Oryctolagus cuniculus: one gene and its partners. The protein of the gene in region 1 purifies or fractionates together with the protein of each later gene. This does not show direct contact. Links are inferred from orthologs where the notes say so. Each region holds a gene or a part of one and is shown in the gene's direction. Other genes may lie near its edges.

Region 1 (10,964 bases):
TGACAGCGTGGACTCGGAGTATGATATGGGGTCTGTTCAGAGGGACCTGAACTTTCTGGAGGACAACCCTTCCCTGAAGGACATCATGTTAGCCAATCAGCCCTCAGCCCGTATGCCGTCTCCCTTCATCAGCCTGAGGCCCACCAACCCGGCCATGCAAGCCCTGAGTGCCCAGAAGCGAGAGGCCCACAACAGGTCGCCAGTGAGCTTCAGGGAGGGCCGCCGGGCGTCAGACACCTCCCTCACTCAAGGTGACAGCTTTCTCCCCGGCCTTTCAAGCCCTGAATGTCACAGGACTGTGGGAGGGGGGAGGGGGCAGTTGTCACCTCGTCAAAGTGAGCACCAACAGGCCTTGTGTTTTATCTGAACTGCTGGTCTTTGTACTGTCTTTCAGGAATTGTAGCATTTAGACAGCATCTTCAGAATCTGGCTAGAACCAAAGGAATTCTAGAACTGAACAAAGTGCAGTTGCTGTATGAACACATGGGACCAGAGACAGACCCGAGCTTGGCCTCAGCCACGCCTCAGCTCCAGGACCTGGCCAGCAGCTGCCCTCAGGTGGGTGTCCCGAGCTCTTCCCACGATGGCTCGGAGAGGAGAGCGTGAGCGTGCACTGTGTTCACGCAGAGCGCTCCCTGCCGTCTTGGGCAGGCAGGTGCTTCTGGGAAACCCACACCAGAAAGCTTTCCTTGTTGCCACCACCTGCCACTGACACAGCCAGCCAGGCTCCTCCAAGTGTCCACTAGAGGCCCAGACACCCGCCAGCCAGCCGTATGTGGGTGACTCATAGTCTCCCTTGAACTCCCCTGCACCACCCACACCCACACAAAAGAATCCACGTCAGTCACCCAAAGGAGAAGCTTCTTGCCACTACTTGTGATGTGATTTGTCACATTATTATTCATGCTAAAAATACAGTAAGCAGTGCTATTTTTCCAATCCTTTTTATTTGGGGTCTGTTTTTAGTGCATCAGGGATATTGTAGTAGTCAAGACTTGGAGTGTTATGTCTCACAGTTAGGATTTCTCTTGGACACTGCAGAAGCACTTACACTGAGCATGGGAACATTTTGCACGTGGCGAGTTAAGCACAGGTGTCACCCTCTTGCTTCTCAGGAGGACGGTCCTCAGCAGCAGGAAAGCGTGCCGCCGCTGCCTCCCAGTGTGCATCAGCTTTCCCAGCGGCAAAGCCTGGAGACCCAGTACCTGCCGCACAGACTCCAGGTGGGACCCTCCCCCTTGTTGCTCGGCTCACTTTGTTCATCCAGCACCTGCTTCTGCACGGCCGAAACCTGCTTGGCCTGGCAGGCCTGGCATTTAGTTAGGGTGGCTCTTTCCCTCTGTGTAGGCAGGTAGGTTTGACTCGGCACTTCTAGAAACATGTTAGGGTCTGTGCCGGCAGTGGGAAAGCATTTGTCCTCAGGCCCTGGGAGACACTGAGTGGTAAGAATGGGAGACCTGGCTTCTTTGTTAAGATTTATTTATTTGCGAGGCAGAGTTACAGAAAGAGAGAATCTTCCATCCACTGGTTCACTTCCCAGATGGCCACAATGACCAGAGCTGGGCCCATCAGAAGCCAAGAGCCAGGAGCTTCTTCCGGGTCTCCCACGTGGGTGCAGGAACCCAAGCACTTGGGCCATCTTCCACAGCCTTCCCAGGCCATTACAGGGAGCTTGATGCAGAAGTGGAGCAGCCAGTACTCAAACTGCCACCCATATTGGATGCCAGTGTTGCAGGCAGAGGCTTAACCTACTACACCACAGCACCAGCCCCCTAAACAAACTCTTAATGAATAATATAGAAATCAAAATCTCATAACCACAAAGTTTTGAGTCCTCTACACTGGAGCATGAACATCTTTAAAGATATATAACACACACAGATCCCATAAAGAATTCATCATGCATTCAGCAGGTGCCAGGGCCTTGTTACCAAATTTAACTCTACTTTTCTCTCTCTCTCTCTCTTTTTTTTTTTTTTTTTTTTTTTAACAGATAGAGTTTAGTGAGAGAGAGAGACAGAGACAGAGAAAAAGGTCTTCCTTCCATTGGTTCACTCCCCAAATGGCCGCTATGGCCAGAGCTACGCCGATCCGAAGCCAGGAGCCAGGTGCTTCTTCTCGGTCTCCCATGCGGGTGCAGGAGCCCAAGCACTTGGGCCATCCTCCGCTGCCCTCCCGGGCCACAGCAGAGAGCTGGACCAGAAGAGGAGCAACCAGGACTAGAACCCAGAGCCCATATGGGATGCCAGCACCACAGGCAGAGGATTAGCCAAGTGAGCCATGGCACCGGCCCCTCTCACACAATCCGAGGAGTTTCAGAAGTGGAAAACTAGTGTGCTAGATCTGAGGCAGCCCACACCTGCTGGCCCGGCCCTCTCCCAGGGTCTTGATGGGCAGGTGCCAGTCTCTTCATCCCGTATGGGCTCTGGAGGGCACAATTGGATTCACAGTCCAGGCAGAAGCAGTCTGATGACTGAGTGTTCATGACAGCATGTTGTCACGATTGTGTTGTTTCTCCGCTCTTCCAGAAGCCCGGCCTCCTGTCAAAGGCTCAGAACACCTGTCCGCTTTATTGTAAAGAACCACCACGGAGCCTTGAACAGCAGCTGCAGGAACACAGGTGAGAGGGCCTCTGGCCGAAAAAGTCGCTTCCTTTTGTGGAAGCTTGGAGACTGCTGCATGTGTTATCCTTTGCCCCTCGTGCTTACATCCACCCGGAAAGCAGGCTTTGATGCCAGGCCCACAGGCTTCTCAAGCGTGATTGCTGTGAGGATATTCTGGGTCCATGGAGTTTGGGCTCGTCAGGTGTAAATGGCCTTAAAATGTGCATTGATTTCCTTTTCTTCCATCGGTTCCTCTTTGGGATAGGACCAGACCTGAGCGGTCAGAAGCAGTGGCCTCAGGCAATTTAAGTCAGACCACAGAGAACGTCCCCAGGCCTCACCTGAAGCAGCTTGGCCAAGACAGAATTCCCCGAATCCATCGACCTGCAGAGGTCTAGGCCTCATCGCCTGACCACTGCCCACCATGGGTGGGAAATCAGCCTCTAACTTTATGCGGAAAAAAAGTCTTAGAGAAAATGCCTTTGTGCTCAGGTTAGCACTGAGGGGTCAGTCAGAACCAGAGGGAACAAAACATGAGATGAAGTTTAAGAAACCCAGTCTGACTGGTTCCTACTCCCGCTCACCCTTTCCTTTCATGGGAAGGAGAGGAGTGGGGCCTGAAGGTGCCCGGCTTGCATTCACGGGAGCATTTCAAAAACAGCTTGGTTTGGGAAAAAACAGTTAGGTTTATTTGGGCATAAACATTTTTGAGATTCATGCATGTTTGTTTCATAATACAAATTTTCCATGAAGTTTTTGAAGGCTTTTTGTATGGATGGATTTCAGATACTTTTTGCACTAAAATAAATTTGCTGTTTAATTCCATTTTTCCATGAAGTTTTGGAAGTCCCTGTGTATGTTCAAACTGCCGTCATGTGACTCTTCCTTCTGATGTGTCACTTTAGGCTCCAGCAGAAACGGCTCTTCCTCCAGAAGCAGTCTCAGCTGCAGGCATATTTTAATCAGATGCAGATAGCAGAGAGATCCTACCCACAGCCAAGTCAGCAGCTGCCCCTGCCCCACCAGGAGACTCCGCCACCATCCCAGCAGCCCCCACCGTTCAGCCTGACCCAGCCCCTGAGTCCCGTCCTGGAGCCTTCTTCCGAGCAAATGCAATACAGCCCTTTTCTCAGCCAGTACCAGGAGATGCAGCTGCAGCCCTTGCCCTCCACGCCACAGCCACCACCTCCGCCACCGCCACCGCCACCACAACAGCCAGGAGCTGCTACAGCGCCCTTACAGTTCTCCTATCAGACTTGCGAGCTGCCCAGTGCTGCTGCTCCTGTGCCAGACTACCCCGCTGCCTGTCAGTATCCCGTGGACGGGGCCCAACAGAGCAGCCTCCCAGGGACAGACTGTCCCAGGAGCTCTGGACTGCAAGAGAATCCCTCCAGCTACGACCCCCTAGCCCTCTCTGAGTTACCGGGACTCTTTGATTGTGAAATGCTGGACGCTGTGGATCCACAACACAATGGGTATGTCCTGGTGAATTAATCTCAGCCCAGGAAGTGAGGTGGGTCCAGTGAAGGAAGACTGTGTGTTTCTATTTTTATTCCAGCCTTTTAAATGTAAAGCTTATTTTCTTGCCCTCTCCCTAATGGGGAAAAATCAAGTCACCCAACTGGAAACAGAGGGCCTGGCTGGGGTGGGTGTTGCTTCCTCCTGGCTCTGTCCCGCCACAGTTTTCTGCGGCAGGTGCTGGAACCTAGTTGTAGGCTGCAGCTCATGCCCTTAGGTCAAGTGGAGCAAGATCTTGAGGGAGGTACCAACAGATGTTTTTATGAGATGACAACATTCAGATCTAGGTTTTATGCAGAATTATGCCTGTTCATTCTTGAGGGAAACCCTGGTCAAAGCAAGAAAAAGATGTGCTATTGCATTTATAAATAGGGCAAATAAAAAGGCAATATATTTTCACTGAAGCCAAGCAACAAACATACTGCTTCAAGGCAAATCAAGAATACATAATGGAATTTGATGTGCAGGAAATAAAGGAAAGCTGTATTTTGTCATCTTAAGTTCTTAGCTGCTAATGCAAGTTGTCCCCAAGGCCATCACAAAGCAGTGGAGTATCAGCTCTGTTTCCGGGACCACTAACAGCTGGTGCTGACCCCTGAGCCGGGCAGTCGTTTCCTTTGGGAAGCAGGTGACACACCTCTTCAGAAGAGGCCGCTGGGTTACACTGAGGACTACAGAGATGTCAGGAGAGCCACTGCAGTGGGGGCCGAGGCGAGGAGAGTACCCGCCCTGGGCCAGGGCAGGCGGGCTGCTCCTGCAGTCTCTTGTGGAGACTTCTGGCTTGGGCCAGTTGGTCTCCAGAGGATCCCTGGTCTCTCTGCAGTGTAATAACTCCTTTGACTTTACACCTTATGTTGCTAATAGTTTCCTGAGCTTTGTATATTTGGACAGTTTCATATAGGGCTTAGAAACCATAATGACACAAAAATGACCTTTGATGTCCCATGTGAAGTGGTAGTGCTGTGCCTTTCTCCCGGAGATCATGCTTTAATTCTTTCTTTTCTGTAGAAACCCGGTTTTGCATTTATGTCAAGGCTAAATCCAAAGTCACTTCAGAGTTTGTTTTCCACCATGTGGGAATCAGCATTAATTTCCTTAAAATCTTGACTTGTAATGAAATGTTCAAGTATTCACAGCAATATTCAGAGAACCACAGATGTGTTAACCGTTTAAGCAGATCATCTGCCAAACCCCTGACATTATTAGTAGAACCCAGCCCTTAGTCCATTCATCATAGGAAGTGAAAACTAGATGCTCCAGCTAATTTCCTGTATACCTAGAAGTAATGAGTCATCTGTCACGCGGAGACTAAAACCCAGGTGTTACAAATCCAGTATTATTTATAAAAACTATTAATTTCTATCCTTTAGAATGGCTTGTCCTGTCAGCAGATGAATGCGTTAAGCACAAAGCGTCTTCCTTAAAGCACAAAGAAGAGAGCTACTCCACTGATGCTGCATCTAGAAAACACCTTTAAGTTGCCTTTCCTCTGTAGTAAGTGTCCAGACAGGTGAGGGGAGCATGGCAAGCCTAAGGAGTCTTCTGGCCCCCCCAGTGTGGGTGACCTGAGCAGTCCTTGTTGCCAGCTGGACAGTGCCTCACGGTGGCCACCGGTGCCAGGATGCTTTGCTGAGGTGCTCTGCCTGGAGTTGGACTCAAGGACTCAGCAGGAGAAAGCAGTGGGGGTGGGGGGACCGTCATTTTTGTGATTTGATAACAGGCAGTAAAAATCCAGGAAGGATGAATTATGTTCCTTTTATGGGTTGTTTATTCCTCCTTGTGCTTAAGATGGATGGTGTCATGAAATAGAGAACTTCATTTCATTTAAGAGATCATTTCATTAAGATCTCTAATCTGTTTTAAGTCTTTGCAAAATAAGCCAGTTATAAAACGGCTTGATTTGTTTAGACTGAAGGAGGATGTTTTCCCAAAATGTACTACAGAAGTGCTGTAATATTTAAAAATTAGAATGCCTTCCAGATTGAAAATGGGACCGCTCATTTCAGAACTGCAGGAATGGCACAGATTGGCATACGTGGCTGCCCCCACCAAGGCTGCGCTCCTTAGCCCAGGAGACCCAGGAACTCCGGCAGGGCAGTTAGGCCGACAGAGTGAGTGCTGGGAGGCTGAAGGGCCCAGAGCGAGCAGGACGCAAGCGCAGTAGCCAGGCCTGTGGCAGTCAGCAGAGTGGAGGCATGGCGGACACTGGCCTGCAGAAGGGCAGACCAGGCCGGAGGCTGGGTTCTGAGCTCCCGGTTTGTTTAGCTCATTTCAAGCAGAAATTGGGAAACTCTGCAGCCACCTTTATTAGCTGAAACGTAAGCGGGGGAGAGGCGACTGGTTCTGTGTCAGTCAGCTGTCCGCTGGGAGCTGCCAGCAGTTTGCTCTTCGTAAACCCGTAGCAACACTAAGGCGGCTTACGCCACTCTACTTACACGAAATACTGACTTGCTTTCCAGTCTGTTTCATGTTAGCAGTGTGTACACTACTGTATAATAATCATTTGCTTTATTATCTTGTAAACCAGGCTCCTCTGAAGAGACTTTGGTGAGATAAATGCGAGGTAAAAATTTCATCCAGCAAAAAGTGCAATATGTGTGGTACTTTTTTATTTTTGTGTATGTTCTCTCTTTTTTTTTTTAATCCAGGGGTATTAGTCTCTGCTTTGGGAAAAATGCACTAGTTCTGCATTTCCAGTTGGGCAAGTGTGTCTCTAGTATCTACATGCAGCTGATAATGCTGGTCCCTGTAAGGCAAACACAGCATGTGAGCACAACAGAAAGGGGGCGGCCGTCCCACTTCTAAATTCCTAGTAAGCTACACTGACCAGCCCCAGCCCTCCCCTCGCCACTTCTGCCCACCTGCCACCCTAGGCCAGGGAAGGGACCAGCGGTTCCTGCACCCACCACCCAGAATCTACCGCAAGGGTGTCACTGGGAGGACTAGAGACGGGACAGAAGGACCCACAGTGCCACAGTGTGAGCACGCCCCTCCTCCCTGCATCAGACCTTGCCTCCCCAGAATCGAGAACTCAGTGGTCTACACCACGTCCTGGGGCCGCAGGCGTGCGTCAGAAGCTTGGGATTATGACAGAACAGCCCTCAACTCCTGTGCTCCTGCCTGGCTCTGAGCCCTACAGGAACGGGGCACCCTGTACCCTTATGGGGAGGGAGAAAGGACCACCCTGTGGGAGACCACCCCACCCCTGCCGTCAGCTCCAGGCCCCTACAGAAGGGACTTGTCAGGGGACCGACCTCTCCCACACACTGGGTGTCCTCAGAGTCTGTGGCAGAGAGATTTACAGAATTCTGCCAAGTTGAGAGGAGGGGTTGTTCTCAGCTGGAGAGTGCCTGGGTGACCGGCAGAAGAATGAAGGGCCGTAAGAACCGCCTTCTAGCCACAGTTGGTCTAGGGTCCCTGGAGTGAGGGCGTTGAAACAGCCTCTGGCTAGGTGACCTGGACGGAGTGAGTGCTGCTGCTTTTGTGAGGGTCTTCCAACCTCTGCGGAAGCCCCAGGTTCTTAAATATATTGGGATCAGAGTTTTTCTGCCTTGGATGACGTTTTAAAACTTCTATCGACAGTTACACTCAAGCTCCCTGTAAGGCGTAAAGAAAACTGATAGTGCAAGTAACTTTCACGTTCCTCCTCTAGAGACAGAACGTAGGTCATTTGACAACACTGGTCCCAGTGGATAGTTGCAGAATCCCTTTGCAGGGGCTGACCTTTGCCGCACGGGTACCCCTACACTGGGCTGCTTCTACTGCCTCCTTGGAAGCCACCCGCGCCGTTCGGTCTCTTTGTGCCTAGACATCAAAGGTAAAAACTGCAGAACAGGTAGTCAGTTGCAATCATTGTTTAGGCAGGCATCTTTGATCATTTTGTTTCTGGAAATGTTTTCTAGAACTTCAAGAGTGATGCATGGAGAGCAAGAACTTTCTAAACGGAACAGAAAACAGTTGTAAGAAACCGTACCTCCCTTCTAACAGGATGGGAAACGAGTACAAAGCTCTCTGCCACCCTGAGGGCGGCAGGATAGACAAAGTCAGTGGCCTTTCAAGGCCCATTGGGCCTAGAGTCTAATCTCCCAGTGCCCTCTCCCTTTTTACCACTCCCTCCCCCCCCCCAGTTAAGGTGTGGCCTGTTCAGTTCTAGAAGACTCTTGGCTGTCCTGGTTGCATCACATCCCGTGCCCACCTCTCATCGGAGCAGATTTCAACACGTTTGGCAGAGTCAGCACATACTGTTGCGCAGATTAAGAACCGGGCCGCAGCCCTGCCCACAGACCTGGGCGGCGAGAGTTCCAGCCGGCCCGCCTGCCCGCCAGTGAACAGAGCACCTTCCCAAGTGACCTCTCCTAATCCTCAACCACCCCGCGCGGCAGTCGAGAGATCCTGTCCCTGTCTTTGTGGCCCGGGGAGGCAGGGCTCTCGTTAGCTGACGTGCTTCACGGAGGTCAGGCGCGTGTGAGCGCAGGGCCGGGACTGGGCTGACTGGCATCTTGATTGGGTTTCTGGCTTCTTACTCTCTTTCCCTGCTCGGTGGCAGCTGAGTCTTTGCATAGGCGAACAGCTGTATAAACAAAGCCCCCATGTTTGCCAGGCGCGGCCACGCCCCCCACGTGGCAGCCCCCTGCCTCGGCAGAGACGCCCTTCAGGTGATGACTGCCGCTGTGCAGGGGGCCCCCGCATCCATTCAGCAAGGCTGTGTGCGACAGACCCCATAGACAAGCTGGCCTTTCGCGTCCAGCAACTACAGGTGTTCGGGCTCCTGTCAAAGGCATTGCACGCTAGAGTAACTACCGACGGCCGCCTGACGGCAGGACACAGCCTGCTCTACCGCCAGGCAGCTGAGCTCACGGCCAGCTCAGGAAGGGCGCTGCTCGGGGAACCACGACCTTACGGTCCTTGTCAGCGAGTCTTCTAGACACCTTTAGGGTTAGAAAAAGAACATGCTCTAATGGGAGAGGTTGTCTTTCCAGATGTGGGTAAGGAGGGAGGAGCTTTAAAAACAGACATACAAAACCACATCCTTGAAAAACAGGACCCCTAACTGGAATGTTACACCTGTAAGCCCAGGGACGGGACTTGCCTCTGGCTGTGAGATGCCTGCCTGGCCACGAGTAGCGAGTAGCTCGGTCAAGGAAGTAGCCTTCCTGCTACTGATGGGAAAAAAAAAATCTGCCTTCATCAAAACCTCTGAAGGAGGGAAAGGCAGAGAGAAAGGAGGTTTGCTTCTCTTTGGGGGTCCAACTTTAAAATCTAGAGAGGATATTTGCACTTTGTAGAAAGGGCAAGATCATTGCTTGTTTCTGAAGGAGGAGGGAGGTGTTGGTGGATGTTTGGTCTGTGAAAGAGTTACTTTTGATAAATTAACCTAATTGTAGTTATTTTTTTCTGTGTGCTTTTTTTTAATTACTAAGAAAAAATTGGTGAGTTCAATAGCTTTGGTATTTTGAATGCAAATCATAATAGCACCAATGTGGGGGGAAAAAAATCAAATTGTAGCCCGTCACTCAATGTTAGAAAATTGCCTAAAATGCAGTTTAATAAATGATCTTTGTACCAAATGGCAATTTAAATAGGGTAATTTTCTGCAAGGAAAATGTACTGTTTTTATGTTTCCAACCCTCTTGAATTAAAATAAAAACAACTTGTTTTCTATACGTGTGCTATGAATGTCAGGCTAATGAGACAGGGCCTTTACCTCAGCAGGTGGAATTCTAAAAGCGTGGCCAGCGGCTGAGCTTTCCGAGCCCTGGTGCTCATTTCAAGCCGCAGAAGAGGACAGTGGACGATATGTTCCCATTGACGTCAGCAGGGTAAATACCACACCGCTCCAAGTCGCCGGAGAGCACATTAGCCACTGCACACCGCTGACGGAAGCGCTGCTCGCCGCAGCCTGCACCCACAGGGCCCCACTGGGCACTGCCAATTAACACTCCTTGAGTTTAGTCTTGGGGCAAAGCCCATGGGCCAAGGGCCTCGTGCCACAGGAGGGGGGGGAGGCAGGCCTGCGGGCCCTTGTCCATGTCCCCCAGGGCAGGCGAGCTGTAGGAGGGTGGGGGGCTCTGAGCAGCCAGGCAGCTCCACACAAAACACTGAGACTTAATCACGATGTCACACCTTCTCTGGGGTCTGCCAAAAGCCTTGACACCATGGGCACACCCCATGGGCTCCATCCCAGGAACAAGCACACCTGTGAGACCCAACTCCATGCCCTTGGGGTGCCGGAGAACCCTTCTGCAAGTGGCTCACATGTCTGGACTGGCAGTGCCAGGCCCGGGTGCAGGGCAGTGTGTTACAGCCTGCTTCCCAGCGCTGAGTGCAACTGAGACTTACTTTCACTCCCACCATCCCGGTTGAGTCCATGCTGCAGTTCCCAGACAGGAATCAGCTGCTGGCTGCAGGGGTGGGAGTGGGAGAGGTGGAGGTGCAGCAGGCACAGGCCACGGCCAGCGAAGAGCTGGAACGGGGGCCTGTCTGCCAACTCGGGCTTCCCCTGCACCAGTCAACAGTCGCTCAATCCGACCTTGACACAGCCATTACCCCCGTGCTACCGAAGAATCCAGCATCACTTTTTTAACAGAATCACTAAACTTCACTAACAGTGTCTCGCAAACATTCCCCATTTCTACCCCATTTCTCCATCGTTTTCATTCTATGTTACCAATAACAACTCCACTGCCCTAGGCTACAGGCAAAAAGTGGCTGGCGCAGACTGGCCAGAAACTCAGCAGCCAGGCAGCCCCTGGACGGCCTTTGCTTCCGTGGCCTTTGTAAGCCAGAGGCACTTTACAAGAAGGTGGAGGAACGCAGGCCCGGGAGGCCTTCCAGAGTCTTCTG
Region 2 (10,246 bases), on another chromosome or scaffold:
CCTGCCACGAAGAGCCCGAGGACCCCAGGCCTGGGCCCCAGCTGCCCCAGCCCCGCGGCCCGGCAGGCTCTGGTCGGCCACCAGTGCCTGAGGTTCCACGAAGGGAATATAGCAGGGTTGCAGGGCCACCGGCATTGCCCAGCCTGGCGAGGACACGGCCCAGCGCGTGCGAGAAGGCAGGACGGCCGTGCGAGCTGGCGTCCCGCCCATGGGTCGGAGGCAGGCAGTGCAGCACAGCGAGTCTGGAGTTGGGGGCGAATTCGCCGCACGTTTATGGGGAGGTTGGCTGAGGTCCTGGGCACGGAATCGGACTCAGATGCTCAGCAAGGGGCCGGCCCCTCCCTCTCTGCACATCACCCTGGGCCTGCACCTGCAGGTGTCTAGTGGCAGGGTTGATGAGTGACTGAGTGACTGCAGGCAGCGACCTCATGAGCCAGGGTAGAAGCAGGGAGGTCGGTCCTGCCGGGAGCAGCTCAGTGACTCCCTCTCTCTCTCTCTCTCTTCCTCCCTCTCTCTCCCCCCCCCCCAGTCTTTGAGGAGCCCGAGGACCCCAGTAACCGCTCCTTCTTCTCAGAAATCATCTCGTCTGTGTCGGACGTGAAGTTCAGCCACAGCGGCCGGTACATGCTCACGCGGGACTACCTCACGGTCAAGGTGTGGGACCTGAACATGGAGGCGAGGCCCATTGAGACCTACCAGGTGGGCCCCTCTTCCGGGTGGGGCGCCACCAGGCCTCCCTGCCCTGCGCTCGGGCAGCCAGGGGGCTGGCCGGGGGCGGGAGTGCCTGCGGGTTCCTGAGCGGGACCTTGGTTTCTGGACGAGGGATGCAGGAGGAAAGAGGCGCCCCGGGCTGAGCCCGAATCTGGGGTGCAGAGGCAGCACCGCCCCCCCCCGGGCCGGGAGCCAGCATCCGCAGCATCCCCAGGGGGGTGGGCACCGGCCCTCTCCCCGGGAGTGCGGGCCCCCCGCTAAGTCAGGTGTGTGCCGGCAAGGACGCTGTGCCCCCCGGTAAGTCAGGTGTGTGCCGGCAAGGACGCTGTGTCCCCCGCTAAGTCAGGTGTGTGCCGGCAAGGACGCTGTGCCCCCCGGTAAGTCAGGTGTGTGCCGGCAAGGACGCTGTGCCCCCCGCTAAGTCAGGTGTGTGCCGGCAAGGACGCTGTGCCCCCCGCTAAGTCAGGTGTGTGCCGGCAAGGACGCTGTGCCCCCCGCTAAGTCAGGTGTGTGCCGGCAAGGACGCTGTGCCCCCCGGTAAGTCAGGTGTGTGCCGGCAAGGACGCTGTGCCTGCCTGCAAGGGAGACTGGAAGTGGAATTAAAATACGTGTTTATTTTGGTGCAAAAAGGAAAAAAAGTTGAAATCCAAGCATTTGGAGGGTCTACAACATGCATATCATGAAAACTCTGTGTGGCTTTCAGCTCTTTCCTGGGATCCAGCCAGATGTGGGAAGGGGCACAAACTGAAATTCACGTGGCGTTGAGAGAAGGGGCTGCTTCGCAGCTGATTCCAGCCGTGTCTCTGGCTGGGGGGATGCGGGAGGCTTCTTGGAGGAGGTGGCGCTTGGGCTGGCCCTTGAAGGATGGGCAGGATTTGTGCGTGCAGATGCGGGTGGGACATCCCGGTGTCCCCGGGTGTAAGGGCGGCACAGGCTGACAGCCGTCACCACTCACCCCTGCCCGTCTCCTCCAGGTCCACGATTACCTGCGGAGCAAGCTGTGCTCCCTGTATGAGAACGACTGCATTTTCGACAAGTTTGAGTGTGCCTGGAACGGGAGTGACAGGTAACCCTCACACACACACACACACACACACACACACACCCGGCGCAGCGGGCCTGGGCTGGCGACTGGGTGAGATGCATCCCGGGGACTGGTGGTTAATCGGCTCTGATGGCTCCGGTGTGGGAACGGGCCCGCCCTCTCTGAGCAGGTACAGTCGCCAACATCCGCCTGGATCCTTGGGTGTGAGAACTGGGGGTGAATTTCCACCGGCCGCCACCTGCTGCATGTGCTTTCGCGCATTGCCACCAGGGGGCGCCCGTGCGCAGGCGCCAGTGCCAAGCCCTGGCTTCCCCTGCCCCTCCGCGCTGCCCCCTGGAGACCTGCCCTAGAGCTCACCCGCCTGCCCCCAGGAGATCTGGGCAATGGCTGCCGAGCCTTCTAGAAGGCGTGGGCTGTGCCACCTCCTCCTCCCGAGCACGACGTGAGGCTCCCGTTGCTGTCTCTGCCTCTCTGTGCCCCTCCCCCAACTCCAGCAGCCCCCTGTTCACCCTGTCGCCATCCCCCACCCACCCCGTTCACCCTGTCCCCATCCCCCACCTGCCGCCCTCCCGCTGTGAGTCTCTCCAGCCTTCCTGGCGTTGGGAGGGTGGGCCTCGTGGATGCCGGGGGGCGAGGTCGTGGGTCTGTGCTGGCCGCGGGGGCTCCGCCGAGCCTGTCTGCCGTCTCCCCCGCCCCTGTGACGCGCTCGCTGGCCCGTGGTGTGGGAGCAGGTCATTCGTGGTGTGTTTGCAGCCCTCTCCTCCTGGACGACCACCCCAGGTGGGCCCCCTGCCAGGGTCCAGTCGAAGCCTCGTGGAAGGATCCGACTGGCCTTCTGTGAGTCACACGCCCACCGTTGGAGGCAGCGTGGACGCAGCTTGCATGCCCAGGCCAGAGGCAGGAGAGTGCTCCATGGGCCAGGGGGCCCGGGGGGACAGGAGGCTGGGGACAGAGCAGCCAGCATCCTGCTGTTCACCTGCAGAGGCGGAGTGGGGGCTGGGAGAGGGCCGCCCTGTGTCCCGCTGAGAGAGGGGCAGACAGCAGTGCTGGGTGGGGTCTGGCCTCCCCCAGAGCTCGGGGCTGGGGGCTGCTGCTGGGCCAGGGAAACGTGGGGGCGCAGCTGTGCGGGCTGCCCGTGACTGTGCTGACTTGCACTCGGCACTCCAGAGCACAGCCGGCATGGTGCAGCTCCAGCTGCTCCCCGGAGAGCAAGGGAGGGGCTGCCTGCCCCCTGCTGGCGGGGGAGAGGGGTGGTCTCCTCCAGCCCCGTGCCCCGGGGCGGGCGTCCTTCCTCCTTCTGCTGTCCCCTTCCGCTTCCCTTGGTTAAGCAGGCGCTGCCCCGTGGCACCGAGACCAGAAGCAGGAGTGGCCGTTGGCATTCCCAGATGCCGGCAGGGCGGTGACCTGAGCCCGGCCCCGCTCTGAGCGCTCAGTGTGCGGGATCTGATTCACACCCCCCCGGGGGCCGGCTCCCTCCCGGTCTCGTGTCAGGGGTGGATGGGACACCCCCCCCCCCGGGGGGGGCCGGAGCAGGGCGGAGGGTGGCCGGCAGAGGGGTGTGCACGCAGCCGGAGTGCCTGACCGCGCCACCTGAGGGCAGCAGAGAGCAAGCCGCTGCCCATGTTTCGGGAAATTCTAGCCCCGCGGCGCCCGGCGCTGGCGCTCAGCAGAGGTGGGAGTGGCCACCCGTGCACCGCGTCCTGCGGGAGCCTGGCCGCTGCCCCCCGCTGGCCCCAGACCAGCATGGGCAAGGAGCGGGGCGTCCAGGGGCCCCGGGCAGCTCCTCTGCCTCGGCGCCTGCTGGCCAGGCAGGCACGCTGGGGTCGTGCCCTGAGCCGGGGTCAGCCGGCGCTCCCTCCCAGGGTGTGGCCGCCAGCCTGCACGCGTGGGCCTTGGTTTGCAGGCAGCAGGCATGCGAGGCGGGGGGCGGGGCCGCGTCAGCGGGATGCCCCGGGCAGGGGGCTTGGAGGGGCTGGGGGGCTGGGGGGCCTGGACGCCCTCTGACGAGGCAGCGTTTGGATCTGGACATGGATTTGGACGCGGCGGGTGGGAGGGCATTGGGCAGCGGGGGCAGCGTGTTCCAGGGGAGAAAGTGGGTGTTGAGGGCGGAGCTGAGGGTCAGGGCACCCGGGAGCCCCAGGAGCCCCAGGCAGGGGTCGTGAGAGAGCCGGGCAGGGATGCCCTTGGCCCAGGGCTGCCAGAGGGGGGAGGCCTCCAGGGGTGGCAGGGAGGGCAGGAGGAAGGTCTGCGCTCCGTCCCCGCCCGCCCTGACCTTTAACCTCAGAGGAAGCAAGAAACACACTTGTTGCTGCAAGTGAGATGGATGCCGCGTAGACGTCCCCTACACGCTCCAGGCTGTGTAGACGGATGCCGTGTAGACGTCCCCTACACGCTCCAGGCTGTGTAGACGGATGCTGTGTAGACATCCCCTGACACACTCCAGGCTGTGTAGACGGATGCTGTGTAGACGTCCCCTGACACGCTTCAGACTGTGTAGATGAATGCCGTGTAGACGTCCCCTACACACTCCAGGCTGTGTGGACAGATGCTGTGTAGACATCCCCTACACGCTCCAGGCTGTGTAGATGGATGCTGTGTAGACGTCCCCTGACACGCTCCAGGCTGTGTAGGTGGATGCCGTGTAGACGTCCCCTGACACACTCCAGGCTGTGTAGACAGATGCTGTGTAGACGTCCCCTGACACACTCCAGGCTGTGTAGACGTCCCCTGACACACTCCAGGCTGTGTAGACGGATGCTGTGTAGACATTCCCTACACGCTCCAGGCTGTGTAGATGGATGCCGTGTAGACGTCCCCTACATGCTCCAGGCTGTGTGGACAGATGCTGTGTAGACGTCCCCTACATGCTCCAGGCTGTGTAGATGGATGCTGTGTAGACGTCCCCTACACGCTCCAGGCTGTGTGGACAGATGCTGTGTAGACATCCCCTACACGCTCCAGGCTGTGTGGACAGATGCTGTGTTGATGGTCCCCTATACGCTCCAGGCTGTGTAGACGGATGCTGTGTAGACAGCCCCCCACCATGGCTCAGGACGGCCCTCTGCTGCCCCGTGGGCCGGCGGGCGCTGAGCTGGGCGTGGCGAGTGCGCGAAGGCCCCACCCCCGGCCATCCTGGCACGCACCGGTGTCCCTGCGCCCAGAGCAGCCTCCCGCGGCCGTGGGCTCTGCTACTGGTGTCCTCACAGGGTCCTGGGCCCCCCACACCGAGGCCCAGCCAGGCAGGACAGGCCCTGCCCACCCCGCGGCAGCTCCCTCGGGCCCCCCACCCGGGGCTGCACCCGCAGCCCTCTGCCCTCGGGGAGGGGTCAGCCAGTGGAGGAAGCAGAGGACACCCGAGGGCGGGCGGCGCAGAGGCCACGTGTGTGTCCCCTCAGTCCGTTGTCCCCATGCCCCCCCACGCAGAGTTCCCACCAGCTCCCTCCTTCTCTCTCCCCCTCCGTCTCTCCCCCATCTGCCCCCACCAACTCTCCTTCTCGCTCCTCCTTCTCTCTCCCCCTCCGTCTCTCCCATCTGCCCCCACCAACTCTCCTTCTCCCTCCTCCTCCTCTGGCCCCTCCCTCCCCCCCTCAGGCTTGGCTGGTGCCTTAGAACCTTCCAGAACCTTTCTGAGTTGCCTCCATGTGGAGCTCTTCCCCAGTGGCCCAGCCGGCCCCTGGGTGCTTCTGCCCCTGCGGGGGCCCTGGCTGGATGTCCAGGAGCAGAGCCACTGTGTGTGTGTTGGGGGGGGGGGGGCGTTCTCATTCCCTCCACCAGACGAAGCCGGTTCATGGCAAGGGGAGGTGACAGCCAAGGCAGCGCTGCACGCCGTGGGCTCCACCAAGGCTCATGGCACGGGCGGGCAGCTCGCGGGCTGACATGGAGCCTCACGTCCCCCAGCGGGCATCCTCGGCCAAAACTTCCCCAGCCCCTTCTGTGAGGGGGCAGGGCTGGACCTTGGGGGTCCCTTCCCATCCGGAGTAGGAGGGCGGGGCCCGGCCTGGTCAATAGCCACCGTGAGCCCGGCTGGCCCAGGGCCCGCCTCCCCTGGTGCCCACTAGGAGCTGGGGCCTCGGGTACCGCACTTGCCTGATGGTGTCTCTGTTCCCACCACCGTCAGCCCGGGACACAGGGCTGCCTGGGGCCTCTGAGCCTCATGGGAGCCCCGTCCCTGGCTGGCCTGGCCTGCACGGGGCCTGCACACTCCTGCCTCTTCTGCACCACACTGCTCCAGGGTCACCTGTGGTCACTCTTGTCTGGGGACAGCCCCTGTGAGCCCACATGGTCCCATGCCATCCAGGGCCGCCCTCAGGGGCACCGTCCAGCATCTGGACAGGAAGGGGGCATCCTGGCTGGCTCGCGCCTCCATGGAGAACTGAGCCAGGGCCCCCTGCCCCGTTCCCCAGGGACCCCTTCCTCCTCTCCCCACTACAAGGCCCCCTGCAGCTGCAGAGCGCCAGGCCCTGTCTCCAGCAGGGAGAGAACCGAGAGCTCTGCCTGGGGAAGTGGGCACGCTGCAGCCAGGCAGCGCACCGGGGTTGCCTCCCCTGCAGGCGGGGGTGCGGGGCTGGGGAGGGATCTGGTGACCCAGGGGGCCAGCCAGTGTCTGTGCTGCTGTCTCTGGGCTGGCACAGTCGTTGAAGTCCAGGGGTTAAGGGGAGTATTTTGGTTGTGCTTGGGGCGGAGCTCCTGGCCCCACGGTGTGTGCAGTGAGGTCACCTGACGGGCGGGGCAGGGCGCTCTGGCCGTCCTCCCCCGCCCTGACGCCTGCCCGTCCCCCCCCCCCCCCCCGCAGCGTCATCATGACCGGGGCTTACAACAACTTCTTCCGCATGTTCGACCGCAACACCAAGCGAGACGTGACCCTGGAGGCCTCGCGGGAGAGCAGCAAGCCCAGGGCCGTGCTGAAGCCGCGGCGCGTGTGCGTGGGCGGCAAGCGGCGGCGGGACGACATCAGCGTGGACAGCCTGGACTTCACCAAGAAGATCCTGCACACGGCCTGGCACCCGGCCGAGAACATCATCGCCATCGCCGCCACCAACAACCTGTACATCTTCCAGGACAAAGTCAACTCCGACGTGCACTAGGGCCCCGGGACGGCCCGGGGGTCGCCCCGCCGCGGTCGGTCGGCGGTCGCTGTCTGGATTTCGTTTTCTAAGGAAGGATTCATAGCCACAGATCTCAAATGGACGGGAGTCAGGGGCAGGGCGCCCCCGTCGCGGTCAGCGGTCTTTCCCACATCGTTAGTTCATTCCTCACTCCCACAGGGTCCCCCGGCCAGGGAAGCTGGGGCTGGGCCCGGCTCGGGCTCTGGGGACGCCAGTGAAGCGCAGACGAGCCAGCCAGGTCCCTCACGTTGTCCATGGTGCGGCTGGCCCCGGCTCCCGGCTGGCTGTCCCACATCTGGTTTGGGATGGTGAATTCACGCAGAGAACTTGGAGGTGCAGGCTCATTTTTTTTTTTTTTTTGGTTTTTAGCGACCTTTGAGGAACCTAGGACCCAGGGGCAGCGCTGTGTCCTGGAGGGGGGTCTCACCCCACTGAGCGAACAGCCCAGGCCTGGTGCTCCGCCCCCTCTAGCCCCGCCCCCCCACCGCTGCCAGGCTGCTTTGCCCCCCCAGCTGCTCGCTCTGCAGCATTCCTGTCCCCACCAGCATTCACTGGGCACCTCCTGGAAACAGACGCCGCCCCCACCCCCCACACACCCGCCCCCTGCCAGCCCCTCCCCCCTCTGCTCCGGCCAGCCATGAAAGGTGGCCGAGGCTCCGCGCTGCCCGAGGTGGAATCCCGTCCAGGCCCTGGCGTGGGCTCAGCGTCCCACGAAAGTTCTGGAAGGCACACGGCCCACCGTCTCGGGAGCTGGGCCGGGGCCGGTGTGACGGTGGCCGGGGCCAGCCGAGAGGCAGGATGGGAGGTGGGGAGGTCCTCGCTCTGTCTGGTGGCGTCGGGAGTTGGCCCCCAGCTCGGGCCGCGTCGCTCCGCCACAGATGCACCTGCAGCTCCTCTCCAAGCGCCATGGATGGCTTCCCAGAGGACCTGGTGCCGGGACCACTCGAGGACACTTCCAGAAGGCCCACGTGCAGTCCTGGGGGCCGCTGCCACAGAGAACGTGGGGAGAGGGTCCCCGCCCCGGCAGACGCCAGCCCACGCCCTGCTGCCTTTGCTCTGGGGCCCAGCAGAACCCTCGGCGAGCAGAGCACAGCCGGGCCGCCTCCGTCCGTTCCGTTTGTGTCTTTCTGTAACCACGTGCAACATGGCCCCAAGGCCGGCCGGGCCCCACTGAGCCCCTGCCTGCCGGGCGGCGGCGTACTTCCCCGTGTGTAGGAGCACAGATCGCATGTGTGCTGGCTGCCGGCCGGGGCGTCCCCGCGCAGCAATGGCTCCATTGGTGTTTTTTTCTTTTGCAATCAACATGAATGAATGTTTGTTTCTCTCTCACTGGACGGCCCAGGTGGCCTGGGCAGTGTTCCGTGCACACACCTGCTCTGATTCAACGTCACAATCCAAGCTTCTTTGACGGCTTGTCCCCCTTGAAAAGAGGTTCCCAGGGGTGGGGTCTGCTGTGTCGAAAGCTGGGGAAGCCAAATCCAGCTGCGAGGGCCCCACGTGACTGCCTGGCTGTGTGGTGCGGCTGTCTCGAGTGCTGTCAGACCGACCAAACCCAGGTCTTACAGCTCTGCAAAGGAGGGCTTTTCCGTCTGAAAACTTGGGTAGCAAGCCAAAAAAAAAAAAAAAGAAACACAGTACAGAGCTCTTCCCCGGAGAAACGTGTATCTTTGGGTCTCTGGGAAGATCCAGATATGCAAAGCAGATGGTGCATCCTACAACATGGATCGGAGGGGGAGGGGCGACCCCGGAAGCCGCGGGAGGTGGCGCGCGCCCGTGGTCGTGCGCGCTGGTGCCGTGCAGGGTTCACTTGGTCCCCACGAAGCCGGCGGGGCCTCTGGCGGTGGAGATCGACCGTTTTGGACTCTCCTAGGTGCAGTCTGTCTTTGGTGTCTCACAAATTATCCAACTGTTGAATAAGATTATAAATATGTGAATACCAGCTTTTTCCAATAAAATAACAAATGTTCCATGGACAGCGGGGCTCCCGGGGCTGTCTGTGTTTTCGAGGCCTGCCCCGGGCACGGGGAGGCTGGTGGCATGTACCAGGCACGCACCGGGCTCTCCTGGCTGCCTGGCTCCGCACGGCTCGGCTGCTCCAGCACCTGCGGCGACTCTAACCTCTCCTTCATTGGGAAAAAAAAAGTCTGTTTGAAAGGCAGAGTACCTGGGAGACACAGAGCTGCCACCCGCTGGTTCTCGCACCAAAAGGCTGCAACAGCTGGGGCTGGGCCAGGCCAAATCCAGGAGCCTGGAACTCCATCCGGTCTCCCACGTGGATGCCGGGGCCCAAGCCCAAGCCGTCTTCTGCTGCTTTCCCAGGCGCATTAGCAGGGAGCTGGATGGGAAGCGGAGCAGCCGGGTCTGGGACCAGGCGGCTGGAGCAGCTGGGCCTCGACGCCAGCCCCAACCCGTGAGCTCTGAGCAGTGGCGCTGCTGAGAGGGCAGACGAGTTCCCAGGGGGCCGAGAGGGGCTTGGATGGCCCCCGTGAAGCCTGTGCCTGGCCCGTGAGCACTCAGTAAGGGACAGGCTCCCTGTTCTGATCCGTGCTGACGCAGGCGTGCCTGGCTCACTGGGATTTCCAAACAGCCACGCCCCGAGGAGGGACCGAGGGCCGGAGAGGCTGAACACTCAGCCGGAGGCCTCATGGCTGGCACGTGTTGGCACCGCGTTTCCACGGCTGCCCCGGCAGCCCCACTGCGCCTGCGCCTCCCAGATTCACACAGAAACCAGAGAGGCCCGGCCCCGGGCTGCCGTGGCTGAGGTGTGCGCGGGTGCTGGTTCACCTGTGGGTTCCCTGCACCCTTTGCTCCCCCGAGCCTCCCGAGCGGGAGCCGGCGCCTCACCTGGCCCTGCCCCCCGCTCCCTGCTGCCCCCAGCTCTGCTTACTCAGCCGATGTGACGTCAGGGGGCCTTTGGCTCCCTGCTGTGTCCCCAGAATGCAGCGTGGGCCTGGGGCCGCTGGCTGAGCAGGGCCTTGTGGGTAAGTGTTGGCACCTGGGCAGGGGCCGGCGACCTGTGCATGGCACCGACTTAGTACCCTCGCTTGCAAGGAGAGCGAGGGGTCCAACATGGGAACCCAGCAAGGCGCAGCGGACATGGGTGAAGGCCCCGAGGCTTTTGGGAGCCAGGAAGCTCACGGTGAGTGGGAAATGGGTCAGAGGCTGCAAAGCTAGAGCCTTAGCCGGCAGCGGGGGCGTCCGGAGGAAGCTGGCCGGCACAGAACCCCACAAAGGCACTGGGGCGGATGGGGAGCAGGCCCAGTAGGGTGGGGTCACACCAGATTCTGGGGGTTGTGGGAAGAGCTGGAGGGGGCCACCAACTGAGAGCCAGGACCGCCCGCCCCACCCTGCCGGGCCTCCTTCCCGAGGAGCCACGTTCTTGGTG
Region 3 (10,245 bases), on another chromosome or scaffold:
GAAAGAACATAGTAAGGCTCTCCGGGGGCGTTTCTTTTGATTCCCAATGAATATATTTTTAATGGAGTGCTTATTTTTAGGAACTTGAGGTTGAGCTTTTCAACTTTATCTTCAAATAGAGCCATTCCTTTGCTTTCATTCCCTCCCCATTCCTTCCTTTTCCCCTCTATTTTGAGCTTCCTAGGAATATTTGGTTCAGAGGTTTTCTTGGCTTAAAAAAAGCATTTGAAAACCACTCGGTTAAAAAGTTAAGGGGTTGCAGTATTCTGTTTGTATTATTGAATGTTTTTAAAACTCATGAAAATTTGGTGTGTGTGTATTAACTGAAACAACTTTATGTGGCCACCAGAAAATAAAATTGAGGTATGATTTGGATGAGTAGGATAGTGTTCTTCTTGTGGTGGTAGAGGTCAAGTCAGTTAAGTCTTGCAAAGTTGAGTCTGCCAGCCAACCTGGGGCACTGAAGACAGAAGCCCCAGCAAGTCTGGTTTTTAACCACATGACTCTGAAGAAGCTTTGAGGGAAGTTAATTGTTACAGCCAGAGAGGTATTTTTCAGTTCTTTATTAGCCTGTCATTTTATCTTGCTCTTAGGAAGTTTGTGAGTGGCTGTTTAAGGAAATGCTTTGTCTAAGCCAGAATATTGTACACGTTGCCGTTTTTTTTGCTTGTTTTTAGTGTTTGAAGAACCAGAAGACCCCAGTAACAGGTCATTTTTTTCCGAAATCATCTCCTCTATATCTGATGTAAAATTCAGCCATAGTGGTCGATATATGATGACTAGAGACTATTTGTCAGTCAAAATTTGGGACTTAAATATGGAAAACAGGCCTGTGGAAACATACCAGGTATTTGCAGTTTTCTCATTCAATGAGCATGTACCCTCTTTCATGTTTATAAAGAAGAACTTTGTACTAGGTGTACAAAATATTTTTTGTACTCACTATTCTACAGTTTTCACTGTTAGACATTTCCCCTCAAAGATCCAAGAGTGTGTTGCTTTTCCATATGTTAAATTTTGTATAACTTAAAAGATTGTGTTGTCATTCAATTTGCTGTTAACATATGATTTGGCTGTCATTTGATTCAAGAGTGTCTTTATTTTCTGCTGCGGTGTACATTTAAGGCAGAGAGAAAAGAGCATTAAAAACCAGTAAGGTCCAGGCAGGATGAGAATTGGAGAGAATGGCAGGCCTGCTTAGAGATGTGCATGCTCTGATTGGAAGATGTGCAGTAATCACTGAAGTGGAGCTTCAGTCTGGCATGCTGAGTTGAGTGAGCTCATTACTGGCTTTCATCTGATAGCTATAGTCTTAACATTTAAAGAACAAGGGTTTGAAAACCTAGCAGATGGCTAGCAGAGTTGCCTACTTGATCAATTTTAGGATGTCAGTTGTGAATTCTCTTGTCTTTCAGCTATTACCATTATTCCCTGTTCTCTGCTTCAGAAATAGAAAAGGAGTGAAAAAGCACACAATTGTCACTGAGTGGGAACAGCAGGAAGTTGTGTTAGGCCCTAGATTGGTGTAGAGAACACTTCACCTAGCCTTAGGAGTATGCAGTTCAGTTTATAGGTGATATCTTCTTAATGTGTTAGTATCTCAATAAAATTAGAATGAAGTTTCTTTCGAATCTCCTGTGATAAGCATAAACCACTCAAGATTCTTTTTAATGTTATTTGGAATTTCAAAGTAAATGCTACATTGAAACAAAAGCAATGAGATAAAATTCTGCTTTGTTTTCAAAGTACATTTGTGTAACTGCCAAGATTGATACATCTCCAAGTTATTCTCACCACCAACCTGTTGCCATTGAGAATAGTTGACTGGAATCTTAGCTTTCTACCCTTCAATAGTTTGGTGAGAAACCTTGTACTGTGTGCATTCTTATTAATTTTTTTGTATTACATGTTCACATTCAATCCTAATTCCACATGAGTTGGAGTTCCTCTGTATTACCAATTTTCACCTGATGTCACATAGACACGGTCTGTTTCATTCTACTATAATTAAAGTGGACATCCAAAATTTTAGTTTAGGTTGTTTCATAAAGAATAGAGAATTCTCAGCTTTTTAAGGGGTACCTATTCTTTCCTAGCGTTACTTTTTAAGGATCTCTTTCAGTTAAAAGTAATAGTAAGATAAAGTACATTTCATTGACTGTTAACATTTTATAAGTAATATCAAGTGATGCTATAAATTTTTAATGGTGCCTACCAAGGGTGTCCATATAATTTATCACCCGGCCAGGGCATGGTCATGTTATGGAAAGTATATGCATTCAGTTAAAAGCACAGTCCTCAGTTAAATTATGCCCAGGAAATGGTATTCTGGAAGTTAGTAAGCATGGTATTCATAGTTTTATCAGCAGCTAAAAGACTTAAAACCAAGAAGTGATAGTCAAATGGTGCTGTAATTTTCTTTTATGAGGTGCATATCTGTACCTTCTAATTTTTTCCATCTTAAATGTTTTGTTCAGGCTTACAACGGGTTACATGTGCCATACTAAGAAGGGAATTTTTCCCTGTCATTTAGGAGGAAAATTTTGCAGCCTCTTTGAAAGGCACATTTCTGTTACTGAGAGGATTGAGACTTAATGAGAGAGGAGGACTGTGTTTACATATATTAAGCCCTTTTTTGTTGTAAAGATAAGGGCTTTTTAAAAATACTTCTCTAAATTAAGTAGATAAATGTGTTGAGGTAAGCTCAGGTATATATGTTACATATCTGTGTTTTTCCTCAGGTGCATGAGTACCTCAGAAGTAAGCTTTGTTCACTGTATGAAAATGACTGCATATTTGACAAATTTGAATGTTGTTGGAATGGATCTGACAGGTAATTGCTTTTAATTTAAACTTAGAGAAAAGGGGTTTATTATTGCATTCTTCCTGGTATGGTTGCCAGTCACAAAAAATAGGGCTTTTTCTTTGAGACTTATTTATTTGAAAAGCAGAGAGGGAAAGATTTTTCATTCACTTTTTTACTTCCCAGTGACCACAACAGCTAGGAAAGGGCTAGGCTGAAACCAGGAGCCTACAGCTCCGTCCCAGTCCCCCACATGGATGTCCGGGACCCAAGCACTTGGACCATCTTCTGTCTCCTTCCCAGGCTTGTTTGTGAGGAGCTGAATTGGAAGTGAAGGAGTCTAAACTTGACCTCACACTTCAGTGTGGGATATGGCCATCTCAAGCAGTGGTTTAATCTACTTTGCTGCAACACCTACTCCCGGCTGACTTTTTTTTAGGTTGACATAAATTAAAAGTCCTAACTTCATTTTTTCCTTCGAGATTCCTTGAAATAAATTTAATAATCTTAGTTTAGTATAGCAATACTGGTCCATAAAAGTGAAGCATTCTTTCACTAGCAGATAGGAGAATATGTAGAATTTATAGATTTTTAAGAATGTTTTAAGGACCAGATAAATCACATTGACATACCAACAATTTATTTTTTATTTTTATTTATTTATTTTTTTTTGACAGGCAGAGTGGATAGTGAGAGAGAGAGAGACAGAGAGAAAGGTCTTCCTTTTGCCGTTGGTTCACCCTCCAATGGCCTTCGCGACCAGCGCGCTGCGGCCGGCACACCGCGCTGATCCGATGGCAGGAGCCAGGAGCCAGGTGCTTTTCCTGGTCTCCCCATGGGGTGCAGGGCCCAAGCACCTGGGCCATCCTCCACTGCACTCCCTGGCCACAGCAGAGAGCTGGCCTGGAAGAGGGGCAACCGGGACAGAATCCGGCGCCCCGACCGGGACTAGAACCCGGTGTGCCGGCGCCGCTAGGCGGAGGATTAGCCTAGTGAGCCGCGGCGCCGGCCGACATACCAACAATTTAAATGGTGAAATTTTGGTTCAGTTACTATCCTATTGTTGAACTATTCTTAAAATATTTGGGCAGCAGATATATTTCACTTGTGTTACTATGCACCAGTTTTTGTAGATTTTTTTTTTAATATTTTTTTTACTTATTTAAGAGGTATAGTTACAGGTTCAGGAGCCCAAGTGCTTGGGCCATCTCTCTCTCTCTCTCTCTCTCTCTCTCTCTTTTTCTTTTTTAAGATTTATTAATTTATTTGAAAGAGTTACAGGCAGAGAGAGAAAGAAATCCTCCATCCACTGGTTCACTCTCCAGATGGCCACATTGGCCGGAGCTGCACCAGTCCGCAGCCAGGAGCTTCCTCTGGGTCTCCCACATGGGTGCAGTGGCCCAAGGACTTGGACCACTTTCCACTGTTTTCCCAGGCCATAGCAGAGAGCTGGATCAGAAGTGGAGCAGCTGGGACTCAAACTGGCATCCATGAGGGATGTCAGCGCTGCAGGTGACAGCTTTACCCACTATGTCACAACACTGGTCCCTGGGCCATCTTCTACTGCTTTCCCAGGCCTTAGCAGAGAGCTGGATTGGAAGAGGAGCACCCAGGACTAGATCGGTACCAGCTGCAGGCAGAGGATTAAACTACTGCACCACAGCACTGGTCCTCGGTTTTTCTAGATATTGACACCTTATGGAAGTAGTAATAAGTCTTTCTTTCAGTCTTTTAAATGTCAACATGTACCACTTACTATGTTCCGATAAAAAATAGTAAAAGAAAGCAGCATTTTGGAGTTCTTTTAAAACTACATTTAAAGTAGAGATGCTTACTTTATACAGTAGATTCATCCTGGTTTCATGATGTTATGTGTTCTAGAGGATATTAAAACTTGAAACATTTAACTTTTAAAAGTTTCAGCCATACATTGGTTCGGTTGCTCCTCTTCTGATCCAGCTGCCTGCTAACAGCCTGGGAAAGTGATGGAGGACGCGGCCCGGGTGCTTGAGCCCCTGCCCTCTCGTGGGAGACCTGGAGGAGGCTCTGACTATTGGCATCAGATTGGCCCAACTCTGACTGTTGCAGCCATTTGGGGAGGAAACCAGCGGATGAAAGAACCTCTGTCTCTCCCTCTCACTGTCTATAACTCTGCCTTTTAAATAAATAAATATTTTCTTAAAAAAAAAATGTTTCAGCGATAGACTAGGCATCCTAATCAAAACCTTACAGATTTACATAGTGAATCATTTTTAAGAAAATAAGAGTTTATTGTATGTAGGGACGTGTACCAATTTGAGTTTGGTTAAAAATTGTCTGTTGAGTAGATGAAAATCATTTGTTTTTAATAGATAACTTGTGTACATAATATACATAGTACAATAGTGATTTGAGCCATGTGGAAAGGAGATAGTAAATGGTAGTAGTACCAGTCAGGCCCTTCCTGAGTTATTAATGATTTTATTTTTGTCAAATTTGGTTGATGAGGCTGTTTTGTAAATATTGAGCAAATAAGACTGACAAGAAAGTGTCTTGGGCAGGCTAGGAATTTGGCACCCTTTTCAACTCACACTTATAAAAATACTTACTTAAAATGTTCTTAGTGGTACAAATTATTTTCTGTTAAAAAATATTACATGCTACTTTCTTAATAGTCTCAGGAATAGATTTTATTATAAGCATTCATAAAATGTGATTATCTGAACCAGGCCTTGGGACAAATTAAATAGCTTATAGTTTAAATTAGAAAGAATTAGTTTCTCCCTTCCTTCCTTTATTCATTTGAAAGTCTGAGCCACAAAGAGGGAGAGGCAGAGACAGGAAGAGAGAACTTTGTTGGTTCACTCCCCAATTGGCCACAGTGGCCAGGGCTGGGCCAATCTGAAGCCAGGAGCTTCATCCCGGTCTCCCACGTGTGTGCAAGGGCCCAAGGACTTGGGTCATCTTCCGCTGCCTTCCCAGGCTCATGAGCAGGGAACAGAAGTGGAGCAGCCGGGACTCGAAGTAGCACCCAAATGGGATGCTGGTACTCTGTGTGGCAGTTTTACCTGCTTTGCCAGAGCACTAGCCCCAGCATTGGTTTCTTAACAGCTGTTTCATGCAGTTTGGTTTTAGAATTGCATAGATGTTGCCTACAGCTGCAGAAAATGCAATCATGACAATTCACTTCTAAGACATTTTATTTGAGGGTACTGTTCAATTTTCTCTTGATAGTTTTGGTAGTCGTCTAAAGGAGTAATTGATAAAAAAAAAAAAAAAGTAAAATATCTCAGGTGTATTCCAGTCATTGAGTTGGTGTCAGCAGTCTTGTCTGTTAAAATCTGCTTTAAGTAGCTGTTTTCTGTGTAGTATCACGCTAGGTTTAATTGTTCTGCTAAAAACAATCTCTTGTTCCTTTGTTTGACTGAATGTTCTGTCTATTTTTACAGTGTTGTCATGACTGGATCTTATAATAATTTCTTCAGAATGTTTGACAGGAACACAAAACGAGACATAACCCTAGAAGCATCACGGGAAAACAATAAGCCTCGCACAGTGTTGAAGCCACGGAAAGTCTGTGCGAGTGGCAAGCGAAAGAAAGATGAAATAAGCGTTGACAGCCTAGACTTCAACAAGAAAATCCTTCATACAGCCTGGCACCCCAAGGAAAATATCATTGCTGTAGCTACCACAAACAATCTGTATATATTTCAAGACAAAGTGAATTAGTGTTGGCATTCCTAGCAGAGGAGCCCACTTCCTGCTTAGTTGAGATAGTTGAAATCTAGCATTCGTACCTATAAAAGAGAGAGGTCCATTGTGGTGCCCCTTTCCAGTGTTTGACAGTGTGCCATTTGACAACACATTTTTATATAGCTACATGGAGAAAGCTCTGTGGATTCATCACTGTGGTGTTCTCCATGTCTGCTAGCCATTTAGGTAAGGGTAGGGCACTTTTAATTTAAATGACTTCTTGCACCATCTTGCCTAATGGACTAGATTGGACTGTATCAACATTGATTTACTCCACTTTTTATGCCTTCCATTGTGATGATGTCAAACACAGTGAAAGCCTTCAGTCATGCTATGGGATTTAATTGTGTATCCTCATTACTGTATCATTGTGGGGTACACCCCTCCCTCCCCCTTTTTTAAATTAAATACAGCTCATTCTTACTGTGGCTTGTAGCATTCCTCCTCTCTGGCCTCCTGGACTCTTCCCCCTCATCTCTTTTACCTTTGCCCCCTCCACCCGACTTGGTGGTGGTATATTAAAAAAAGAACGAAAGCACACAAAATGAGTCAGTTTGGGGTTTAGTGGTAAAGGGGGTGTATGTTGCGAACAAATGTTTTAATAACAGTTGGCTGTAATCACTCCTTGCCATGTCTGGCACTGAAAATAAGGAAAAAAAAAACTACTACTGAATAAAAGTGACAAAGAATGGAGAATCTGGTTTTCTTTTTCTTTTTAATCTACCTCTTTAAGCCAGTATTTTGTGACATACCCTTTTGGACACCGTGAAATGAAATGGGTTTCCATTATTTTATTAGTATTTTTGTTAATTATTTTTATCAAGTGTTCTTTTACATGGAAAAGGAGGGGTATTGGTTCTGTATGAACATGTTTTAAATATATGTTGGTATTATTAAGGTTTTCATAATCTATAAATGCTACTAGAGACTTTTTACTGTAGTTATGAGGGTATTGGATACATTGTATCAACACTTAACTCATCTGTTAAATTGTTGTAAATGGGATCCAAATTTGTAGAACTTCATTTTAAAATGACTTTTTACAGTGCTTTGATTTTTTTGCCTTACTAAATACTAAGTCAAAGACTAAAATGTTTTTAACAAAAACTTTTTTGTCATTCAGTCTTACAGCATAACATTAACATCAAATGATCTAATACAAATTGACACTGCACTACTTTTTTTGTATTTTATTACTATCAAAGCAGAATGAAATGTACTTTACCATAGATATTTTCCTTCTATTTTTGATTTTCCAAAGCTGTATTAAAGACAAAATTTTAAAGGTACAGTGTTAAAAAAAACTGCTTACTGGACTCCCCACAGCTGGCCCTATAAATAAAATTTGGTAATCTGTGTATGACTACATTTTCCCTAAGTGGTGATACCTTATCCAAAGATGAAGAGTGTCCCTATTTTTAATAGGTGGAATATACCTTTGTCAGTCTTGAAGAGCTTTAATGGAGAAAAAATGGACTTTATTTTTAAAAGATGCATTGAGCAGGCATTTATATTATTAGAGAATGGTAGTATATTTTGGTTGAGCAATAATATAACAACCTTGAATTTTAGAGGACTGAATGCTTCTTATATGTCCACTACCTATTGTTCAGATGCAAATTTGATTAAATATTTCATCATAATTCCCTCTACACTTATATAAATATTATGTCTTGTAAGTTAACATTTTTAGCACGCAGTAGAAATTTTATGTAATAAAATTACTGTCTCTGGGACTTAGCAAGTCTGAATTTGTATTTAAACACTGATTATTATATGTCTGATAATTTTTAACAGCACTTTTTCTAATTTATTTTGGGATCATTGGTATATTCATAGTTTGTGCTATTTATTCTTCATACTAACTTGTAAGTGGAATATTCCCCTGCCAGAAGTATCAAGTAGTGATACTGTGTTTTCTGATGGAGCAACTCTCCAGAACATCTGTTTTGGTCGTGGTTTCCCTACACTTGGGTTGTATGCTTGATATAACATAACTGAATAGCTCTTGGAAATTTATTTTTGATTGATCAGTAGCTAAGATAATTCTCACCCATTACACTAAGGGATAGTTTTATATATTTGAGTGAAATGCTTCTATAAGGTATGCTATTATAAATTGTAACATTAAGTATTCATTTTCAAATTTCTTTGGTGTAGCAAACTACGAGCCCAGCCACTCATTTTATATGGTCATGGTTAATCTTTTTATTAATAAAAATTATACTTAGAATGAACTTAGTCTTGTCAAGTTGCTTGTATTTCCTGTTCTCTTGTCACTAATAAACATTTTCTGTCCTTTCTTAACCTTTTTAAAAGATTATGATAGGAAAGAGAAGTCTCATTCTGTTAATCTCTATGATCTTTACTTAGTGGCTGGGCAATAGTAATAGTTAAAAAGCAAATCTTATAAACACTTTTATATACTAGTAATTACGGGAAAGAAGATTATGGAGCCCTCAGTCTCTTGGAATTAAAAAAAGCTATCCATGTACTTTTCCTTTAAAATTAGGAGTCTGTTAAACCTTAAATGTGAGTTCTGGGTAGAGATATTCCTTAAAACAAAACAGTTCCTATTTTAGTGTGTTGGCAGTATTTTGTAACAAATTACTTTGGTGGATCTAAGAAGTGTTGGGGTAGTCTCAAATGCTAAACATCTTTTGTAATTGAGTTTTGTCTTGACATGTTACTGAATAATGATATTAGACTAACCTACTACCTTGAGAGAATTAAAAGACTTCAAGGGTTAAGATTAGTAATCTAGAAAATCAACTCCATAGCACAGTGTCTGTCAAACACAAGACACTACAAAGCTCAGTTTCCTTCCAAAAGGAAGGATTTTATGAACATGAACGGGCTTAAGGAGAAAAACTAGTATTTGTTTCTGCTTTAGTTTTTTAATGTTCTACTCAACATGTATGCTTCTTAGTAGTATTTGAGTAGCTACATGCTACGTTAAAAGAGTTTCCCACTAGGGGGCAATGGTTAAGTCTTAACAGCATCTGTGAGATAATTTGAGAATGGTTTTCATTATTAAAGACCAAATAAGGGACTGAAAGGAATATCTAAAGTGTGCATACTCATATATGCCCAAATAAAGCTACGGCTCAACATGACCCTGGACTAAGTGAGGACCATGTGATGGAGGAGGAGCTCGGATGCCAGGTGTGGTCTCGTGCTCAGACCTTCCTAGGAAAGCATCAGAAACAGATGAGCTACCCTAGTGGGATACTCTAGCAACATAAAACTCCCAGTCACATTTTTATTTTATTTTATTTTTTTTTTGCTCTTGGGCTTGTAATTTTTACAGAAAGTGTAATTATGCATATTATTTAATGTCCTCTTTCACCACTTAAACATCTTGAGTGGTTTCCTAAATGAGGTGTTCATTGTAAGCAAGATTTGCTTATCAACACAGCCTGATGTTGCATGTTCCGTAATTAGCTGAGGCTGATTTTCATTTTGTAAACAGAAATATTAGAATAGTGAACGTAACCTAATTTTGGTGTGTAAAATGATTAGGATACATTGTTAGAAATGTAATTGCTGTATTAGAGTATATGGATATATTTCATATTTGGTACATAATGTCAAATTTCCCTTTCAAAAGTTCCATCATAAATACACAGAATTAGCCATCATTTTCTTCCAAAATAAGGTCTGCTTTTACCTTTTCCTTCAGTGCTTTTTTTTTTCTTTGAGAGGCAGAC

What was found.
Region 2: the proteins of SIK2 (region 1) and PPP2R2C purify together in Homo sapiens (affinity purification with mass spectrometry; 3 studies listed by BioGRID and IntAct, counting the BioPlex papers as one, with this or other methods). This does not show direct contact. The link is inferred for Oryctolagus cuniculus from reciprocal best matches to the Homo sapiens genes SIK2 and PPP2R2C.
Region 3: the proteins of SIK2 (region 1) and PPP2R2A purify together in Homo sapiens (affinity purification with mass spectrometry; 3 studies listed by BioGRID and IntAct, with this or other methods). This does not show direct contact. The link is inferred for Oryctolagus cuniculus from reciprocal best matches to the Homo sapiens genes SIK2 and PPP2R2A.

What each region holds. Positions count from the first base shown.
Region 1 is NC_091432.1:103,680,684-103,691,647, forward strand, and holds the end of SIK2 (serine/threonine-protein kinase SIK2), read left to right. Parts: coding exon 1-251; intron 252-394; coding exon 395-558; intron 559-1,115; coding exon 1,116-1,223; intron 1,224-2,528; coding exon 2,529-2,620; intron 2,621-2,868; coding exon of another isoform or gene 2,869-3,001; exon of another isoform or gene 3,002-3,428; intron 3,429-3,508; coding exon 3,509-4,078; coding exon of another isoform or gene 4,079-4,097; exon of another isoform or gene 4,098-5,455; intron 5,456-5,491; coding exon 5,492-5,516; 3' UTR 5,517-6,834; coding exon of another isoform or gene 6,835-6,867; 3' UTR 6,868-7,787; coding exon of another isoform or gene 7,788-7,945; 3' UTR 7,946-9,782; downstream 9,783-10,964. Other genes in the region: PPP2R1B (serine/threonine-protein phosphatase 2A 65 kDa regulatory subunit A beta isoform), read right to left, coding at 7,788-7,925. UniProt on the Homo sapiens protein: Serine/threonine-protein kinase that plays a role in many biological processes such as fatty acid oxidation, autophagy, immune response or glucose metabolism.
Region 2 is NC_091433.1:3,560,989-3,571,234, forward strand, and holds the end of PPP2R2C (serine/threonine-protein phosphatase 2A 55 kDa regulatory subunit B gamma isoform), read left to right. Parts: intron 1-529; coding exon 530-699; intron 700-1,685; coding exon 1,686-1,777; intron 1,778-6,548; coding exon 6,549-6,840; 3' UTR 6,841-6,891; downstream 6,892-10,246. UniProt on the Homo sapiens protein: The B regulatory subunit might modulate substrate selectivity and catalytic activity, and might also direct the localization of the catalytic enzyme to a particular subcellular compartment.
Region 3 is NC_091433.1:47,868,124-47,878,368, reverse strand, and holds the end of PPP2R2A (serine/threonine-protein phosphatase 2A 55 kDa regulatory subunit B alpha isoform), read left to right. Parts: intron 1-677; coding exon 678-847; intron 848-2,741; coding exon 2,742-2,833; intron 2,834-6,231; coding exon 6,232-6,511; 3' UTR 6,512-6,866; downstream 6,867-10,245. UniProt on the Homo sapiens protein: Substrate-recognition subunit of protein phosphatase 2A (PP2A) that plays a key role in cell cycle by controlling mitosis entry and exit. Involved in chromosome clustering during late mitosis by mediating dephosphorylation of MKI67.